Caenorhabditis elegans: one gene and its partners. The protein of the gene in region 4 purifies or fractionates together with the protein of the main gene of each other region. This does not show direct contact. Each region holds a gene or a part of one and is shown on either strand. Other genes may lie near its edges.

The links.
Region 1: the proteins of ztf-11 (region 4) and lin-9 purify together in Caenorhabditis elegans (co-purification; one study listed by BioGRID). This does not show direct contact.
Region 2: the proteins of ztf-11 (region 4) and lin-52 purify together in Caenorhabditis elegans (co-purification; one study listed by BioGRID). This does not show direct contact.
Region 3: the proteins of ztf-11 (region 4) and rba-1 purify together in Caenorhabditis elegans (co-purification; one study listed by BioGRID). This does not show direct contact.

What each region holds. Positions count from the first base shown.
Region 1 is NC_003281.10:8,899,688-8,906,072, forward strand, and holds lin-9 (Protein lin-9), read right to left. Parts: upstream 4,445-6,385; 5' UTR 4,439-4,444; coding exon 4,382-4,438; intron 4,273-4,381; coding exon 4,154-4,272; intron 4,105-4,153; coding exon 3,972-4,104; intron 3,932-3,971; coding exon 3,329-3,931; intron 3,285-3,328; coding exon 3,126-3,284; intron 2,651-3,125; coding exon 2,240-2,650; intron 2,162-2,239; coding exon 2,057-2,161; intron 2,011-2,056; coding exon 1,861-2,010; intron 1,106-1,860; coding exon 908-1,105; 3' UTR 551-907; downstream 1-550. Other genes in the region: unc-32 (V-type proton ATPase 116 kDa subunit a 1), read left to right, coding at 5,941-6,093, 6,175-6,351. UniProt on the Caenorhabditis elegans protein: Synthetic multivulva class B (synMuvB) protein. SynMuvB proteins are required to repress the induction of vulval development by Ras signaling and probably act by forming the multiprotein DRM complex that represses transcription.
Region 2 is NC_003281.10:9,823,578-9,826,387, forward strand, and holds lin-52 (Protein lin-52), read right to left. Parts: upstream 1,174-2,810; 5' UTR 1,167-1,173; coding exon 1,061-1,166; intron 1,008-1,060; coding exon 834-1,007; intron 787-833; coding exon 581-786; 3' UTR 506-580; downstream 1-505. Other genes in the region: arl-5 (ADP-ribosylation factor-like protein 5), read left to right, coding at 1-83, 132-397; ZK632.9 (uncharacterized protein), read right to left, coding at 1,548-1,548, 1,604-1,737, 1,787-1,840. UniProt on the Caenorhabditis elegans protein: Synthetic multivulva class B (synMuvB) protein. SynMuvB proteins are required to repress the induction of vulval development by Ras signaling and probably act by forming the multiprotein DRM complex that represses transcription.
Region 3 is NC_003279.8:9,615,999-9,619,787, forward strand, and holds rba-1 (putative histone-binding protein rba-1), read right to left. Parts: upstream 2,110-3,789; 5' UTR 2,104-2,109; coding exon 1,960-2,103; intron 1,913-1,959; coding exon 1,472-1,912; intron 1,430-1,471; coding exon 1,278-1,429; intron 1,218-1,277; coding exon 963-1,217; intron 905-962; coding exon 718-904; intron 668-717; coding exon 608-667; 3' UTR 518-607; downstream 1-517. Other genes in the region: K07A1.10 (Large ribosomal subunit protein mL64), read right to left, coding at 1-184, 237-319; putative histone-binding protein lin-53, read right to left, coding at 2,405-2,918, 2,966-3,549, 3,604-3,759. UniProt on the Caenorhabditis elegans protein: Core histone-binding subunit that may target chromatin assembly factors, chromatin remodeling factors and histone deacetylases to their histone substrates in a manner that is regulated by nucleosomal DNA. Plays a role in regulating cell cycle progression.
Region 4 is NC_003279.8:9,904,535-9,912,301, forward strand, and holds the start of ztf-11 (Zinc finger protein ztf-11), read right to left. Parts: upstream 6,012-7,767; 5' UTR 5,994-6,011; coding exon 5,813-5,993; intron 4,902-5,812; exon of another isoform or gene 4,791-4,901; intron 3,232-4,790; coding exon 3,074-3,231; intron 2,992-3,073; exon of another isoform or gene 2,869-2,991; intron 2,837-2,868; coding exon 2,612-2,836; intron 1,800-2,611; coding exon 1,586-1,799; intron 1,318-1,585; coding exon 1,198-1,317; intron 989-1,197; coding exon 694-988; intron 644-693; coding exon 565-643; intron 210-564; coding exon 1-209.

The DNA of each region.
Region 1 (6,385 bases), on a different chromosome or scaffold from region 4:
TTCATAAAAGATTAACAGAAATTTTTTAAATTTTAACTATTTTTTCAAATTTTTTAAACAGTTTTAAATGTATTTTTGTCGGTTTTCAGTGAAATTTTTGTTAAAAAATAAGAAAATTAAGAAAAAAAGCTAAAAATGACTTTTAAAAAAATTGAAATTCGTTTTTTGGCGCAAAAAGTTAAAGGGACATGAGATTTCGTAGGGAGCGGGTCTCGCCACGATTCCTCCTATTTTTATTTTTACTTTCAAACGAAACAACGAAGCTCCGAAATAACGCATTCGTGATAAATTTAATAAAGAAATTAGCAGCAAAACAGCAAAAAATGCGAATGGAATTCAAATACGAAGCAAGGCGCGCAACACACTATAAAAATTGATCAAAATTACGCAGCAAAGACAGTTTAAAACTACAGTAATCTTTGAAGGCGCACATCCGTTTGTATTTAACAGACATTTGTCGTGACCAGTTACCGTACTTTTAGCGCTCACTTTTGTGTCCGGGCTAATATCTTCTCACCGCTGGCAAACATAATAAAATGAAAATTCACCTGAAACTTTAAAATTTTATTTATTTTCTAGACAGTCAGTAAAATAAAAAATAGTGGAGTATAACTGACAAGGGTTTCGTTATTTGGCTCGTTTTTCTCGAAAACTGATGATGATGATGATGACAATGAGGAAGAAAATAGAATTTTGGCACATTCGAATTATCAAGGTTGAACTACTTTTAAAAAATAAGAAAAATGGGGATGTGTCTCATGATCGGGTACAATTTTGAAAAGACACAAAGTGATTGAAGAAGGTGGGGAGAGAGAGAGAGCAGAGATGAGAGAACTGAGAATATTCAGAAAAACAAAAACTGACGGGACCGGTTGGCGTTTTTTTGGACAAAATGAGACGCTTTTAGTTATTTTCTGTTCGATACAGTTCCAGCTAGTGCTCCACTTTCGAGCATAATTGTGTGAAATTGTTTCATATGAACTTCAACGTAGTCTTGGAAGAATGCCACGTTGCGGGGGTGAATAGCGGTCCGAATTTCAGATATGGCGTCACCAAGTGATTGAAGATCAACTGCAGAGATCTTTTGAGTTCCCATTGTGCGAACCTGGAAAAATATAATATTTTTTCTAATATTTTTCTGCAGTAAAAAAATTTTTTAATAGTGTTTTACCGATGACCAGGTAATTTTGAATTCTAGGAAACAATTTTAGTTTTTTTTTTGTAAAATAGTAATTTGTAATTAATTCTAATGGGACGATGCAAGTGAACACGTGTATTCAGCTCGACCAACGCCTCGAAAATTTTCAAAAAAGGCGGGAAAAAATATTTGAATTCGCCAAGAGGAATTTCACCGCAGCGCGTGACGGTGTTTGCACAAATTACACCGAATGGTCGAGCTGAAAACACGTGGTGAATTTCTCGTAATTTCTCGACACATTTTTTGCAATGCAAGTGCGCGGAGAAATGACGAGAAATGTCGTGAAATTTGCAATTTCTCCGCATTTCTCGACATATGATGAACGGTGAGATACGCAGAAACATGTGTCCCCGCAGGAAACTCCGCCTACTCACCGCACTTTTAACAGGGTGAAATGTCTTACCACCCTGCGAGGACACATCTCATATGTCGAGAAACGCGTAGAAATTGCGAATTTCACGACATTTCTCGTCATTTCTCCGCACACTTGCATTGCAAAAAATGTGTCGAGAAATGACGAGAAATTCACTTGCATCGTCCCATAATGAAATTAGGAAAGAGGATTTGGTAAAAACCGAAGTTTATTTTCTAATGAATTTTTACATTTTCAATTTTTTTTTTCATTAATAAATTATTATTCTGCAGTCTATAGTGCCACAAACCTGTAAAAGGACAGCTGTCAATGATTGAATAAGTGTCAACGCATGCACATTCTCTACATTTAATCCTTGATTACAGTGCTCTACAAATCTTCCAGCTTGTTGAGAGCACATTTGTCTAACTGCTTCAGGTTTCATATTTGACGTTGAAATCTGCAAACAAATAGATCTTTCGAAGAATCAGGAAATGAAAAATTACATCATTCGAAGAGAAATACATATGGTGATCTTGAATTCCATTCATATTGATATCTATATTCTGATTCACATGTTCCAGATCGATGATAGTTTTGGCGTATTTCTCCTGAAAAAAAATTGTTTTTTAGATTCTATCTAGTTGACTTTTTCATATATCAAAAAAAATTTCTAATTAAAAATGTACCTGAAAAGCTTTCGAATATTTGTCTGACGTCATATTTTGTATCTCGGCATCCGCATTCAATTCGTTCAATTGTCGTATCAATCCCTTTTTGATATCAATTAATTTCGTCAGTTTCACAAGATTCACAAGGAATTTCAGCGGGAAATTTCCAACCATTTCTGCATTTTTTCCATTTAATCGTTCGTCGTTCGGTCCCATTAATGGTCCACCACTTCTCTCGATTTTTCGAGAAACCAGGACGTCACGAACAAGATGTGGATGTGATGAGTCACGAACTGCTGCTACAAATGGACGAACGCCTGATGGAAGCTTAGAGTTGGCTTGTTCAATGAAGTAGGCGATACTCAACAAATCAAGTTTTCCGTCGAGAAGTATTTCCGTGTCACTAACCAGTGTTGGTGGGATATCTGGCTGAAAGAATAAAACATTGGAATTTATAGAATTTCAAATATTCAAATTTCCCTAAAACAAAATAATTTATGATCCAAAACTACCGAATATAGTAATAGGACGTCTTAATTTCCAAAGACTTCCTATTTTCAGCTAAATCATTAAATTTTGTCAATTTCTCCTAACACTTTTTATTGCATATTTTGGTAGTAATTCGATGATTTGAGCACATTTTAAGTCGATAAGAATCCTACTTTGATATTTTTGGTGTCTATCGACTTAAAGTGATCCTAAATCATAGAATTAAAGCGAAATAAACCACTAAAATATGCAATAACTGTTGAAAATGCAATAAGAATTGCATTCCAGCATGTACAAAATGGACAAGTTGGCGAAGTTCACGAATTTAGCTGAAAATAGGTTTGTGGCGAAATTTTAAGACATCTCGTTACAAAATTCGGGCGTTTTGGGTGATATTGAGTCTCCTTTTACAAACCTTGTCAAAAATAATTCTGAATCCTTTCGGAATGACAGCATCAATAATTCCAGAATAAATTCCATCGTAGGGATTTCGAATTCTCGCAAATACACGATTTCCAACCACCATTGGACGTGGAAGCTTGGCTGGAAGATCTTTTAGATCAATCGATGGATCCTGAAAGAACATTTATTGAAAATGATACACCTCTTCAGCCTTACGTTAAGATAACTTCCTTCATAGACACTTCGAATCTTCATTCTTTTCTCTTCCAGGTACATTCTTTCTTCTTCAAAAAACACTTTCGAGCATCTACGTGGCTTTCCGAGAAGTTTTCGAATCGACCGCCACTCAATACGCGTTAAATTCCAATTTTTCAGATTTGGGAAAGATTCGCGGATAATTGTGGCAAACTCGTTTTCTTCTTTGAAAATTTGTTCGTCGATTGCAGAATAGAAGAACTCGCACATGACCCATTGACGAGCTTTCTTATATCGGAGCAAATTGTAGAGTTTCTTTATATTAGCTCTCATAAATGTGCTCACATCTTCACTTGTTTGATTTTTATACGTTTTGAATTGTTTCATCATGGCACTTCGTTCTTGATCTGTACTGAACATGTTGAAGAATGACTGTGTATCTCGATGTTCTACAGCTTCATTTGTCATATTCGCAGGATTATCTAAATCATCAAGACCTGCTACAAGGTTTTGATGCATCTCAATCATCTCCAGATCCTTTGCGAGAAGATCATTACTTGGTGCTGGAGGCGGAGACAGAGCAAGAGCTCTGCGTGGAGGGCGTCGTTCTTCTTTTGGCTGGAACTTGGAGACATGACAACAATACAATTGTTTTAAAACTTACAATATATTCCAAAGCACAACTGGAAGATTCATAATCAAGAGCTGCCTTTGCGAGCATTGTTAGACTTGAGTTTCGGGTCAATGAGTTCACTGAAGGAGAATCTCTACCTCCATTCAGGCGTTTCGCGGGAGATCTGTAAAATCATAAGATTAGTCGGCCACTTTTTCGGAACAGCTTGTTACTTTTTGGGAGATCCGGTACGTTTGATACTGCGAGACGGTGATAGGTATAGTTCTTCATTACGATATCTCGATGGAACTTTAGATGTTTCACGGAGACTGTATGGTGAGCTGGTGCGATCCTGAAAATACCGAATGTCATGCATACTTTCAATATCTTTCTTTAATTTACAACTTCTTTATTTTTAAAAACACGAAAACCCAATAAAATCAATATTTCCAATAACTTACAGGATCAGACGTGTCACTTGCTGCCTTTTTCCGCGGACTTCTCACCGCAGACGACATTTTTATCTGAAAAATAACAAATTTTTGAATAATTTCAGACCACGAGACAAAAATCAATGAAAGAATGCGGACGCGCGCGCGCGAAAAAAACTTTGAAATGGCGGTTCTTTTCCCCAACCAACAGCCGATTTCAAACAGCGTGATGGTCTCGACGCGATTGCCCTGCGGCAGTGTAGCGAGGTACGGTGGAGCGCTGTCTGTTGGAAAACAGAACACAGCTGAGAGAAGTGAATGTGGTGGGAAACGGAAAAAAGGGAGAGCTGCTGTTTGACAGTCGAACGTCGTGACATTCCGTTTTTGGATTTTCTCGTGAAAGTTTTTTTTTTTTTTTTATTTGTTTTATTTCTTATTTGTATTGATTTTCCATCTTTCCTGGGTTATCATTAAATTTTAAACATGGTTTTACACAAGATCATGCGGTGAAACATGTTTTTTTCTTCCTTTCCGCATTTAAAACGAATTATTTTGTTTATATTGTTCTTCTCTTTCCATTCTCATGATTCATTTCTCTCCTTATTGGCAAGAAACATTATAAAATTGTTCATTCCTACTAAGTGTTTACCAAAATTTATTTTGGCCGCAAAGTTTTAAAATTGTAGAATAAACTTTTCATTAAAAATATTTCGTCTTCAATCACTCATCTTTGTTCCGAAAACATCTCACAGGTTTTTTCTTCAAAGCAATATTCTTCTTTAGTGTTTTTAGTCAGCGTTTTTCGTTCTGGATCTGGATTCTATGGTTTGATGTTACTTTGAAACACTATTTATAAAATCTTTTTGCAAAGAAACAATTCTCTTAAATTTAATACAATTTCCGCATCAAAATTGAAGTTTTTGTGCAAAGTTGACCTCTCGCAGCGTAATCTTATCGTTTTTTCGCGTTATCACCACTCAATCTCCCCCACTGCTCTACAATTATTTCATTTCTCTCAACCTTTTGATCGAATCGATTGAATTTCATAATATCCACGAAATGTGAGTCGCCCAATGTTTACGTTTCTCCATCCTATAACACTGCTTACAAATGGTTTCAGTGTTCAAACATTGCGGTGAATGAGGCAGACAATCAGACATTTTCTTTCTTTTAAAACCTGTCCTGTTCATTTCTTCCTCATCTCCTTTAGGTTTTCTTATTCGCCATCTGAAAGTTTATTTCTCTGCGTCTAGCTATTAGATCCTGGAGAATTACGCTCTAATGTCGATGACGTGTCGGCTGATCGATTAGATTGCGCAAATTGTTTCTTTAGTTTTTTCTAGATTTCTCTCCCTTTTTTCATGATATTCCAATGGAGCACGTTTGAGCGCATGCTCTCTTCTTGCTCAGTGCTGCTCCGTATCGATCCCTCTCCGTCAATATCTGGTCTTCGGTCCTGAGGCCTTCGCTCCTAGCCTCGTGCTTTTCTTAAATGTTTTCTCTCGAAAGAAGCGTTTTTGATTTTTTTTTCCTTCTTATTTTTGAAATCTTCATATTATTTCATGGAAATTCTTACAGAATCAACTAGAATGGGTGATTACGTGACTCCCGGCGAGGAGCCACCACAACCGGGCATCTATCGAAGTGAGCAGATGTGCCTGGCTCAACTCTACCTTCAATCTGATGCTTCCTATCAATGCGTTGCTGAACTGGGAGAGCTCGGACTTGTTCAGTTTCGTGATGTGAGTTTGTGATATGTAAAAAACTATTTTCAATTAATAATTTTAAAAAAAAGTAAAACTTCAATTTATTTTAATTTTCAGCTTAATCCCGATGTGAGCTCCTTCCAACGAAAATATGTAAATGAAGTCAGACGGTGTGATGAAATGGAACGAAAATTGAGATATCTTGAACGAGAAATTAAAAAAGATCAGATCCCGATGCTGGATACTGGTGAGAATCCAGATGCTCCACTTCCACGAGAAATGATTGATTTGGAGGTTTGTTGAAAAAAAAATATAGGTATATAAATAT
Region 2 (2,810 bases), on a different chromosome or scaffold from region 4:
TGTGATCTGGGATATTGGCGGGCAGGAGAGTCTACGAAAGTCTTGGAGTACTTATTATGTTCAAACAGATGTTGTTATAGTTGGTATGAATAACTTTTAGTAAATGATATTAAAATTAAAATTATTTTCAGTTATTGACAGTTCCGACACCACTAGGATTCCAATTATGAAAGAACAACTGCACAATATGCTTCAACATGAAGATCTTGCTCGTGCTCATATTCTGGTTTTGGCCAACAAACAGGATCTGCCCGGAGCAATGAATCCAGCAGAAGTATCCACACAACTCGGTCTCCAGACATTACGAGGTGCTCGGAAATGGCAGATAAATGGATGTTGTGCTGTGAAAGGAGAAGGATTGCCGGAAGCTCTCGAATGGATTGCCAACAATTTGTAGAAACGTTTATATTTATAAATTTCAAAAATTGCCTTAAACTTTGCCAGCCTCGTTTTTTAAACTCTCACTGTGAGATTATGTGATTTGCCAACTTTCTAATTGTGCTCTGTTAGTAATCAAGTTTATTCATGTGAATGTTAATGAATGATGAGATCATTATTTTTTGATAGACCACTATTCAATTCACTGGCTTCCTGTCGTTTCTTCCGCTACATTTTTCGGTGGTGTTGGCTGCAAATATCTCGGAGAAGCCGAGCCAGTGGGTTTCAGCACGTTGAGCAACTTTCCACGTCGGCACTGGCGAGCTTCTTCGATTCCAAGAGTGTACACCGAGTTTTGAATGTTTCGGATGAGCTTGGCGATATCGTCGGCTGGGCAGTGGCTCATTGCTGAAAGTTAAAAATTGAAATGAATATGGAACAATATGAATACGAACTATTAACAGTCACAGCATCTTCCTTGAGAAACGAAATATTCTTGTATGGCGATTCGTAACCTTTTGATACTGATTCGCTTTGAAATGCTTCTTCAAAATCGAGACATTTCATTGGAACTGGCTCACTTTCTTCTGGCATTGTTTCGGTGCATTCGAGCATCTTTTTCTGTTGTTCTGAAAATATTTAAAATTCGAAGAATCTTTCTTTTCTACAATATAATACCAACCAAGCATTTTCGCCTGTTCTGCGTTTGATTTCTTTTCGATCATTTGTTGGACGAACATTTCGTCATCTCCAAATTCGTATCCAATAAATCCTAGCGGACGCGACATTTTTTTCCTGAAATTACCGCTATATGTCAGAATTTAAATGTTTAGAATTGAGTAAGTATAGAGCTTGTGACGAATTAAACGTTAGGCCGCAATGAAGTAATTGTATTGATTTCTTCTTCTAAAAAATAATTCTCACAAAACAAATATTTATTTGATGTGAACAAAAACGGGATGTGAAGAAAATTACTCGGGAATTTACAATAAAATACAAAAAAAAATCGATTGCTAGACAGCCTAGCCGGTGGGTACTTTACAAATTTTAAATTTACACAATACGGTTAAAAATAATGAAGAAACGAGAAACAAGGTAAAAAACATGAATCAGTGGGCAGTCGGTGGTGGAATAGAGAAATAGTGTCGGGCAGTCACATGAAGAATGATTCTGAAAAATCAAAAATAGGAACATGGTCCGCAAACACGGTAGCATATTAACGCACCACTTCTCTTTTCTCTTTGCCTCTCCGTTGCTGGCGGTTTGAACAACCTTGCGAGTGTCCCCTCCTGGCTGAGATGCGTGCTTGTGCTCCACTCTGTCAGACTTGGTGCGCTTTCCGCTTCCAGTGGTGAGATCCTAAAATTGAAATTATTCAGTTTAAATACAATATATGCATTGCACTGACCGGTCCTCCGGTTTGCTCGAATGCGGCAGCCATTTCTTCAGCAGTCGACGACATCTCGTTGGTAATTTTCTGCAACAAAAAATTATTATAAAGCTTAGAGACGTGTAAGCAACACAAAAATGAGAGAATGAACCGACACAAGAATGACCAAAACAAGTGTTATCAAAGTGAAATGGACGATGATTGGCAGTTGCATGATTAGAAAGAAGTAGGCAGAAAAGGGAGGAGAGTGCCAAGAAAACAAAACTGTGAAAGAACCGATTGAATAGCATTTGAAACGATTGGAGTGTGTTTATTTGAAGGACGATAGTGACAAATCTAAATTTTGGCGCGCGTAGTGTTGACGAAGATCAAATCTATTTACAAGTGTAAATGTTTAAAATCGATAATTTGAAATTTTCGATTAGGAATAAGGCTGAAAAGTATTTAAACAAAGCTTCAATTGAGAAATACCAGAAAAATTCGTTAAAAATTTTCAACGAGTTTAAAGGAGGGCGCATTTGTGTGGAATTTGTGTGGCGTAGAGATTTCTTTATTGATTTTTCTCGTTTTTTTTTTTTAATATTCTGACTTATATTGCGTTTATCAGCCATAATAAATGTTAAAAAGGTCGAAAATGAGAAAAATCAATGGAGAATGAAAAACAACTCTAAATGAGAGTGCGTTTTTGTAGAAAAGCTCTACAAAAGTGAGAAATAAAGTAACGTTTTCAGGCTTTTTTTCAAGAATAGAAATCTGCCTGAATATTTTTAGCGAATCAACAGCAGACGGACAGTTTCATTCAAATACTCGTATTTATACATTTGCGTTGGCGCCAGAGACACGTGATGGATAGACGAGCGGAGACCATCGAAAAAAGTAAAAATGAAAAGAGACGCAGAGCAGCACATTTTGAGGGCTGACTTGTTTCTGCTAGATATATTGGTGCGGTGTCATCGAAGGCACAGAACAAAAAGAAAAAAGAAGCAAGAAAGAAAAAAAAGAAACGAACAAACAAGACAAAAAAAATAAATCGATCGGAACA
Region 3 (3,789 bases), 290 kb from region 4:
GAACAATCCAATGGCTTCTTCTTCCTCAATTTCTTCAGCTGTTGGGAACAGCTCTTCAACTGGTACACCACTTTTTAGACCATATTTTCCGAATCTTTCACGACGAGATGCTCGTTCACGCTCAGAATCAAATTGAACCGGTGGCATCCCACCAGCAGCAATGATTCGATGACGGGGACGTAGACTAAAAAAATGTTTTTTTTTGTTTTTTGAACATGCAAAAAATGAAAACTCACAAACTAACATCAACCTTCGGAGCGATTTCCTCACTTGAATTTGTTGCAAAACTTCTTACCAAAAGTCTCCAATTTCTCAACATTTTCTTTCTGGATAACCTTGAAATATGTTTAATCAATATATTCCTTATCGTAAGAAAATAAGCAATGTAAACCGACTAAACATGGTTTCGCAAGTGCGCCCCATTGTGAACACACTATTTTTCAAAGTAAATATTTAGTGGCAGAGAAAACCTGAGAAATTAATTCTGAATAGATGAACACAATATGAAAGAAAATGAAAAAACGTTCATTGATAGGAATGTGATTTTTACATTCAAAGATCAGAAGTGAGAAAATTAGTAAAATTCGACAAAGTGCAATTTAGACGATTAAATCATTTCGGTCTCCCATTTTTCCGACGAAACTAAACTGTTTGAAACTTCCCACACCTGAAAAACCATTAAATAGTTATGATTAATTTTTTGAAAATAATTCTTGCCTGTAATGCATTAAATTCGTCGCTGCTGCAAATAGTCCATGGGCGGTTGGGATTCCAAGAGAAATCTGCAACTTTTCCAGTATGCCCAGCGTGAATAAAAATAACTTCTGGTGGAACAGAATCAGATGATGCAGCTGATGAAGACGATGGGTCTTGAATTTTAGAAATATCCCAAACGATAACCCGACTGAAATTTTTGAAATTTCATAGGTTAAACAAATACAACTTATTAGGAAAAAACTTACTCATCCGATCCACTACTAGCCAGAACAGTTTCATAATGCGGGCTGAACGATACTTGAAATATTTCGTCGTTGTGATGTTTCAGCGTGTACATTTTTTTGCGCATATTCCTCATATCCCACAAAGCAACCGTTTTATCAACAGATCCGGTTGCTAAAATGTATTCGGAAAACGGATTGAAAGTAATACAATTAACTTCTGCAGTATGTCCGACGGCTGTGAGCTGTGGCTTTGATTGACGCAGATCCCATAGGTTTCTAAAGACGTGAAAATTATTTTGAAATCTCGACAGAATGGTATGATGTATTTATACTTACAGTTTTCTATCATCTCCAACAGATCCAAAAACGAAATTATGGAGCGCGTGAAAAGAAACATCCTCCGCATTTGATGAATGACCTTTAAACTTGCTTTGTGGCACTATTTGACCGGAAATGGTCTGATTCGCGTTTATATCCCAGTGGCAAATCTTAAAAAATGTATATTTATGTATATCTTTTGTTAGAAATACCATTCCGTCATCGCCGGCAGTTAGCAAATGTCCCTCTCTGGTGTTGCTCCACGACATTCCATATCCTTCGCCTTCATGGCCTTTCAATCGCAATTGAGGTCGAAATTTGGTGTCTTTTGGTTCAGATGGGTGCTTCGTGTAGTCGAAAATATAAACGTCATCAGAAGGACCTCGACTTGCAATAATGAAAGGATTATGTGGCATGTAACGTGCCCTATGAACTTCTCCTGGATGGTTGATTTTAATCTCAGTATCCCATTTTGCAGCGCTGCCCTCTCCATAACCTCCGAACTCTTCACGTTCCGAATCCCATTTAGCGTCGTCGAATTCTGGTGTGTCTGTCGTTATTGTGAACTTTGAGATCATGAGATGATTCTGAACTCCTCCACAAGTATGTGTTCCATGAATCATTCGATGCATCGATGAATCCGAGTTCTCTGTCTTAAAAAAATAATGAAGAAGGCGAAATCATATTTACCGATTCTTACTTTTGTGACATCAGGCATCCATTGCACTGATAAAGAAGGCCACTCGACCTCTTTTGTGACGACTGTATCGTAGAGATATGGAACATTTTTCTTCCAAATTCTATGTTCTTTACTCGTTTCTTCACACGATTCAGCTTCACTCATTGTGCTCTGAAATTGCCTGAAATAACAAAAGATACAACAAAAAACCAAAAATATCACAATCTGAGCTATCACAACAATCACGTTAACATAATATTTCAAAACAGTTATCTGACAATGGTCATCGAATTTATTTCAGGTTCAACAAAATATGATCATATCTCAAGGTAACATTTTAACTTTAAAAACTTAGTTGGTGAAGAATATGCGTTTGAATAAATGGTAAGATGAACAATTTGTTGAGATGCAAAATTAAAGAAGGATAGAAGTTAAATACAAATAATTTAAGCGCGTTTCACGTATTTTACTGTTGTCTCTCTACCACATCGGCTGGAGTTTCTTCGTCAACTTCGTTGTATATGTTATCAGCCATTTGCCACACTTGGAGAATATTGTCTTCTGACACACTGCACACAACCCAAGGCTCGTTCGGGTTCCACGAGAAATCGCTGATCTTGGCGGTGTGCCCACCGTGAATAAACAACAGCTCTGGTGGACCATCTTCCGCGTCTTCGGCAGATTGGTCTTCTCCAATCTTAGATAGGTCCCACACATGAAGACGTTTATCAGTACCGCTGGATGCAAGAATAGTCTCGTTGTGTGGACTCCACTGAACTTGGAAGATTTCATCACGATGTGATTCAAATGAGTGAAGTTTCATTCGTAGATTACGTAGATCCCAAAGAGCGACAGTTTTATCAGCTGATCCGGTGGCCAGAATGAATTCGGAATATGGATTGAATGCGAGACAGTTAACTTCGGCAGAATGAGCATCGATACAGTGTCCAGGAGTGCTTGTGCGCACATCCCAAATGAGCCTATAATTTTTAATTAGTTAATAAATAGAAAAAAAACAAAAGCTTACAATTTCTTATCGTCACCAACCGATCCGAAGACACCATCATGCAAAACGTGCCAAGCAACATCTTCAACGACTGACTCGTGACCTTTGAAAACATCCTTCGCTTGCAATTCCCCGGCAACATTCTGATTTGCGTTGATATCCCAATGACAAACTGTCTGATCATCTGACGCTGATAGAATCAAACCTTCTTTGTTTGGATTCCATGATAATCCATAGCCTTCCTTCGTGTGTCCTTTCAGTCTGATAAGCGGATTGAACGTGTTATCACGAGGAACAGCAGAGTGCTTTAAATAGTCGAAAATGTAAACATCAGCATGTGGAGACTTTGTAGCAATGATATTCGACTTTTGAGGCATGTAACGAGCTCTGTTAACCTCCCCTTCGTGGTTAATGCGAATATCGGGTTCCACTTTTCCGTTAACAGCTCCGAAACCACCGTATTCACTGCGCTCGGTATCGTAGCGAGATGCATCAAATTGGGCATCATCCGTTGGCATACAGATCTTAGAAATAAGCAAGTGATTCTGCTCATCTGAAGTATGAGTTCCAAGAATGAGCCGATGAATAGTATGGTCGCTGTTATCCTAAATTATTTGAATTCACTTCATGAAAGTTGTGAATTATATGAGAACACATACCTTCGCAACGTCTGGGAGCCATTGAACACTGAGTGAAGGCCACTCAAGCGCATGTGTCATTACGAGATCGTACAAGAACGGGGTGTTCTTTTTCCAAATTTTGTATTCATCATTTGCGACGCGATCTTCGGAGGTTCCATCTTCAAGAGTGGCCATTTCCTGAAATTTTCAATTTTTGCAAAGAAT
Region 4 (7,767 bases):
AATCCAGGCATTTGAAGGAGCATTTGAGATGTTGGGGAGCTCTTTTCCGCGGAGCCAGGAGCAACTGGAGCAGCAACAGGTCTTGATGGTGTTGATTGAATCTCTGGGATCACGGATGGAACAGGTGACTCGCATTTAACTTCTTCTTCTTCTTTAATAAGAGTTGGAATATCATCTGATGTTGTTTCAACGTCAACTTCCATCTCGTTCTGAAATAAATTACCGTTAAGATTAAAAGATAAAGTGACTTTGGTAAGTTTTTCAAATCTTCACAACTGCCCATTTCGGATCAAAAATTAATATAGAAAAATGGAAAAATATCTGATTGATTCGGAAATAATCTTCATTTTCTTGGGAAATTTGGAAACTGGAGGAAGTTGTCATTTACCAAAAAACTGTCTTAGAATTTTTTTTCGGTAAAGGACAGTTTGAGAAAGTTTTTCAGGTCTTTAAAGTAATTTTTATGAGCATTTTCCCAAAACTTTTAAATAAAATTATTTTCAGAGAGTACAAATATTCCTCAATTAAAAACTTCTCAGAATCAAATGTTATAAATTATTGTACCTCTTTCTTTGACTCCTCTTCCAATGTAGCAAGTGGTTGTGTTTGAGAGAATTGTTGGAAGAGAGCATCCATCATTTGACTGAAAATTCAATTTTATAGAAACTGTTTATTGAGAATGAAATAGAATACCTTGATGGAATGAGTCCTGCTTGTGCTGCAGCCAACAATTGCTGAGCTGACAATCCAGCTGGAAGTCCAGAAAGTGTCAAGTCAAGTGGACATTCATCAGAAATACTGATTCCCTTAATTGGAGTTTTCGTGCGTTGTGGTGTTGTCTTAATTCCCTTCCGTGCAAGCTTTTCCTGATGGGCAATTGGACAACCAGAGAGACTACGGTGAGATGTTCTATTTCCATTGACATGTCCCTTTCCAGAGCATCCGGCTGTGGTGCATCGGAGCACGGTGTCTTGTCGGAGAGCAAGCACTGCAAACGGGAAAAGTAAGTGAGTGAGTGGGAAAAGTCATCAATCTTTGGCTCTTGCTACTGCTACAAGTATTGGCTTCAAAGTAAGTATGAAATGCATGAGAGCTCATTTATCTTAAGCTCTTTTTACCAGATTAATGAGCTAGTTTACTTGTTGCTCCAAGTTCACAGCCAGCTAAGATTTATGTTTAGTTTCAATTTAAACTTACTTTGGATAACAGTCTTGTCTGGTCTACGTGGACATCCGGACAAACTTCTGTGATGAGTGTAGAGTCCTGTCTGATGTCCTGATCCATCACATCCAGGTGTTGGACAAGCCAGTTTGCCTTCTGAAAGTTGGGACTTAGTACCGCTCCAAATGGAATTTCATGTGATTCGGTGCGAGTGGAGTGGTAAGTGAGGGGATTAGTTTATTTTGTGGTTAGTGCACTCATTTTATCCCTCCCAAATGGATTATTATTTTTTGATATTCTTCGAAAGAAAACTCAGAATGGGGGAATTAGTGGTTAGTAAGTTGGGGTTAGAGATTGATTTTCAACTGAAATATCTTCAGAGGATTACTGTAGGGTCCCAACTTTCTGTTCAAAAAGTCCTTACCACGTCTGATGCTCCATGAGTAACCAGTACCAGGTGATGGAATTGATCCGTTTGGAGTAAATGCAACTGTTGGAGTTGTAGAGATTGAAAGTTCATCACTGATATTTGTATGTGTAATTGGAGACATAACTCGAGATTCTGATCCAGATGAGTGTGGTGGGCTTGAAGCAGTTAATGGAGTCTTTGGAGTATCCGACGATGTCATCATTGGGCTCTGAAAATCGTATTTTTTGGTAAAAAAGATATGAAACGAAGAAAAACAATAATAGTAATCCATCAAAGTTGGCAAGTCTCACTCTTTACTACTACTACTCCTAGTAAGAACAATCGGTGAGGCGGCAGTGTCATTGGTCACGCAATGTCATCCGTTGGGTTCTAAGGTGTTTTGTGTCTGTTTTGACATATAATTAAAGTTGGAAGCCCTTGCGTGACCAGCAACTTGTTATTTCAAGTCATTGCTACCAACTAGGTGGTCCGAGGAGTTGTAAGAAATTTGATCTACCGTACTCGCTTTAACAATTGAATTTAATAGAGTTTCCAAAAGTTCCGTGAATTTTCCTGAGAACTTTCCTAAATCTTATAGAAAATTCCAGAAGTTTTCCTAATTTTCTAAAATCTCCAGAAGATTTTTGAACCTCCTAGAACTTTTCAAACGTTTCTCCAGCTTTTCTTTCTGAAACCTTTCGAAACAGTTTCGACTTTTCAAAGTTGCTCGGTTCTTCCAAGACCTTCCAGATGATTTTTAAAAATTTTTAAAAATTTTCCGGAACTTCCCAAAATTTCCTCGAAGACATGACCCTAATTTTCGTTAAGCTAGGCATTGCAAAACTACCAGTTTCCCTTGAAACTTCTCACTTAAATTTTCAAAATTTTGAAATAATTTCCCAAGTTGAGCTGCCATTCCCAATTTCAATATGTGTCAATGTGAGTTCATAAATATGCAACAAGTCACTTTTCTCTACCGTGTGCCCCCCATTCCCACTTCACTTCTTTTCACTCAAAATGCAAATTTCTTTGGCTTCTCACCTTTGACGACGACGTCTCCTCTGCTGTCACGACACCACCATCCAAAACTGAGTCGACATCGGAAGGTGATGTGTCAGAGTGTGTGGCGCTCATCATATTTCCTGATGTAAAAATTTCAAGCTGTTTTTGGAAGGATGGAGCCATAAATTGCGAGAAGAGGAACGACGGAACTCCTTCGAGGCCACTTGGAACTGATGAGGTGACGACATCTGCGGAGGTGGCGGTCTGAAAGTGAATGGAATGAATGAAGATGTTATCTCAAAGGATCTCAGACAGATGTACAGGCACATGTTCTTCTTCGGAAGCATAAAAAAGTTGTTAGGTAATAGTTCGGAACGATGGAACAGGTGCTCTCTCTAGGCCCTGTCAGCTGTCTTTTGCGTCCTTTTAAGACCATCCAAGGACACATCATATATTTAATTGCCGATTCGATTTCAAAACCGAACACTAAATTTTACTAACCTGTTCAGTTGGTTTCTGTGCATTGTTTGTTGTCGTGTCACAAGTCATATTCTGATCTTCTTCTGTTTCGTTTTCTTTTGTATCTGAAGATGATGGAATCGATGAACACGTGGCAGCAGCGGCTTCGGCTTCTTCGGCAACACGGACAATGTCTTTAGCTGTAATGAGCAAAAGTCATGATGTGAAGGGTAATGATGGAGCGGTAATGTATGGAGTTCTAATGAATAGGTAGAGCAACATGAGGAGATGAGTACAAGAACATCTGTCAACTCGTAAGATTCTGATATTTGAGATGAGAGATGCATTAGCTAAGTAGGGGTAAATCCCAAGAAGAGAAGTTTCAGTAGATCAAGTTCAAATTTCCGAGGCCAGATATTTTTCAGGGAGTTGAAAATTGAAGCTCCTTTGGTCGCCAGCATTTGTTTCATAAAAATTCACTTTTGAATAATTTTCTATTTCGCTACATTTATCAATTTAGGTATGCGGCAGGCGTAGGCCTCAGGTACTGTCAGAAAAGTTTCAGCCAATCCATCATGACTGTCAACTACAGTAATCTACCCATATGCCTCATTTTCCCATTCTACAATTTTCCTAACTCTTCCCTAATCTTTACCACCTTACCACCATATGTCATGTAAATGGTTCCAGATAGAGCGGTGACTAAAGAGAACGCAATGAATGTATAATTAATGATGCAGGACTTCTCCCCTCTGTTAGAGATCACTTGCGGTAAAAAAACTACAATAGAAGTGGGAAGCTTTTGATTGAGAAAAGGAAGTAACCAATGAGCCGAAGCGCGCCCTATGATGTTTTTGAAGTGGACCGCCCGTTTTTCGGAGATGGTCATGATGTAACCAGAAGCAGAGCACAATTCGCACAATTATGGACCGGAAAATGGAAGGAAGTGACAACTTGGCGGTGTCTTTTTGAGATTTTTTAATGAACAGAAGGAAATTTGTTTACATAGCCATTTTGAGGTGTTTTTGATTATGTAACTTATCGACTCACTGTGGCCCATTGTCACCTTTATCAGTAACTTTTTAAAATTAACTTTTGGAGTTAAAAAACCGAAAATTTGTACGAAAAGTGATTCAGTTGGCTAAATATAGCTACTTACTGCCTAGAAAAATCAAATCTCCAAAAAGTGACGCAAAGGTGATACTACAAATCGGTGTGTAAAACATCGACTTATAAGTCAGTTTCTGCCAGCCATCTGCAACCAAAAAAGGTGATATGACAAGAAGTCTTCATTTTTTGATTAGCAATAAAGAAAAAGTTTTGCAGAATGATTGCCCAAAATTACGGTATGGTGCCGTTGAAAAATATATAAAATATATAAAATTCCAGCTAATTGAAGCCGATGCACTTTGTATGGGAGGCATTTTGAATTTCAAAGGAAAGTTTTTAGCAAACAAAAAAACAAAGTGCTGGCGGTCTGTAGAGAACATCTGGCGACAGATGGAGGGGTACTTTTAAGAGGAGACAACTTCTAAGGGGGGAAAGATTTTGGATTTTGGATTTAAAGGTCACGACACTCACTCACTCGAATAGCCGAAATAATTGAATGGTAAAAAGTAAAAAGCGTGTGGCGGCTGTTTAAACTTTAAGCTTACATATTGGTCATTCGTAGAAGCATCTATATCACTGCTGACCATGGAAAAGTACTAGAGCTCCCTGTTTGAGCAGCTGTCGGTGTCTCCCAGTCACACTGTGCTTACGGGGTGGCCATATTTAGATTTTGACCATATAATAGTACTAGTAAATAGTACGAGAAAAAACTATTTGACGAGAAGAGAAAAATTATCTAGAAAGTCTTGTAGGGAGCAAGGAGAAAAAAATAATTTGAAAGTGAAGTTTCTGACTTTGAAATGGCTCTCTTTCTCAAATCTAAGTCAAAACGACTACAACATAATGCGATTTGACGTTGCGACACTAGATCAACCCGGGTTGTAGTTGAAAGAGTTGGAAAATATTGAAAAATCCAAAAACAAATGATGATGACGAGTAGGGTCAGAAGACCCAAATCTTTTCGATCCATTTTATCACAAGAATCAGATGGCAGATGGAGTTGCATTTGCAAAGTTATAGAGAGACAGTGGGGATTACGAGAGGAGAAGAATTGAACAAAGAAGGTTTCCCACGAGAAAAGTTTTACAGGTCAGGAGGAAATCCTCTATTCACTCTTAATTAAACAATTAGTGACACTTTGAAACTAGGCAAATAGCACCTAACCGAAACAATATTAAAACTATTCACACTGGAATTATAAATTAGAACAAATAAGTGCCGACTAGGAGAGAGTTTTACTTTAACAAACTGTATTCCGGGTTTTTTTTTGTTTTATCAAAATGTTTAACTATTAAAATGAAGAGAAATATTTGGCACGTACTTTGCCTGTTGAATAATTTTTAAAAGTTCAAAGATTGAGATAAACGATATAAAAGTAGAGAATTTTAGGGGCAAGTACCGCTTAACCATATGACTACGACTTTCATCGATTCCATCTTAGCTGTTTTTGGTATTATCAAGAAGTGAACGAGTTTTTATTTGTTTTCTATAGTTTACTGGTTGAATTAAATCAAGCTTAGAGTAACCAAGACACATGTAATCAAAAAGATTTTACCTATGAAAATAAAAACTAAATATTTTCCCAAATTTCTCCAGTTATTTTTTTTAATATAAAACACAAAGTATCCGAAATACAAGCTGAGCAACATCTCAAACTTTTCCCAAACTTACATTCTGGCTTCCGGCGTCTCTTCTTATCAGAAGAATCTGAAGCTGTGGAGTCTGGAGATTCAGATCCATCGGAATGAGTATCTGGAGGTGTTGGAAGTGAACCAGAAGATTTCATGAGCAATGACATTAAAACTGCTGGATCAATGGATGAAAAGTCTGGGTTGTTGGAGATTGATGACATTTTGATATAGATAAAGTCCTAAAACATATTTTTTAAATAGTAAGAAGGTACAGAGAAAAAGTTTTCAGCAAACAAGAAAAGTAGCAAGAAAGTGTAGAAGGACCACAGAATGACCACACATAGACACTCAAAGTAAGGAGGGCGGTCTGGAGGAGGACACCATCTGCTTAGCGGCGTGGTGCACCTGGCATCATGCATTGCCCGCGCACATACAGAGACTCCGCCTTCTTTTGGACAGTAATGGGGTTGCGTTCGGGTACCAAGTTAAACCCCAATGGCCCCCGATAATGCTTACGGGGGCAGGTGTGGAAGAGCAGGAAATGAATTATTGGAGATGGGACAGCAGGGATTAGGTAAAGTTAGATGTGCATGGTATTCAGTGGAGAACACTTGATGGGAGGATGGAAAATAATAATAATAGTTTACGTTGCGCGTGTATGGGAGATCAAATCCATCAGATTAGATGGTACAGACAAGACACTTGTAATGCGACACCTGTCTATGGCACTTTTGAATAAAGAGCTATGAATAGTATAGTCTAGATATGGAGTTTTTCAAACTTTTGAAGCTAATTGTATGTATAATAATTTTGAAAATGTGAAAAGTTGTCAATGGACGATACACAATTGTAATTTTTCAGGATTCACTGATAATTTTTGGATTTTGAAACTTTACACAAGTTCACCTAACAAATAGTTTTTTAACAGATATCAAAAAGTAACTAACTACAAAACGGTAGAAAAATGAATAAACATTTTCTTGCCAATTGATAATCTGTTGATATAGCAGAATACAACCTAGCAAAGTTGAAAAATTTAGAAGCAAAACAAATAAAGTCTGAATTTCTAGATTACCCCAGAAAGTAGGTAGTGTACACTTCCAAGTTTGGTAGATCTTCTTCTTGAACAAAATCAATCATAATCCTAAAACATATCTTCACTGTCACTATAGTAACAGTTTCACATTCAAGTGTGAACCGGAAGATTACAGAAATTTGAATGATTATCCTACATTTTGTTTGTTTTGAATGTAACAGAAGATAAGCCAAACTCTGAGGCGGTCAAGAGGAGAACCTAATAAAAGGTGAGGGATCTCGTTTATGACGTGGCAATGTATATTGGTTATGCACACAGAAATAGATACTATTGGGAAGTTATGTAGGTCACTGTATTGACAACAGGCAGACCTAATAGAGTGCAAACTAAACTTATTATTAGATAGAGATCTTACAAGGGTACACAGTTTTTAATTTTAGACCGTTTAACGAAATGTTTTTAAATTTACTTATATGATCGAGAAAAACATTAAAACTGAAATCCCACAAGTATAAGCCGTATTTTCCTACTACGGAAAGAGCAGGTTCTTGAATCATAGGACTTTTAATGGGGAAGATCTACCAAGTTTGGAAGTGTATGCTACCAACTTTTGTTTAGTAACCATCTGGAAAACTAGCCACTCTATCAGACTTGAACCCTAATGCTTAATTTTGACAGATGTTTTTTTTCATCAGAAATTATCAACTAGCACAAATGTAACATTTCTATCTCTACAATTTAGTAATTAACTACTTTTTGTATTTTTAAAATGTAGTGAAATATAGAATGCCAACTTGAAGAGAGAAATACTAATAGAAAAAAGCGCATCATGCTTATCAACCAACTTAACACTTTATATGTGAATTCGCAACTCTAGATAACTCTAGATATCAGTTTTAATTTACATTATTAGAAAAAAAAACATATCTACAAAATACCATGAAAGAAAATAATGGAAG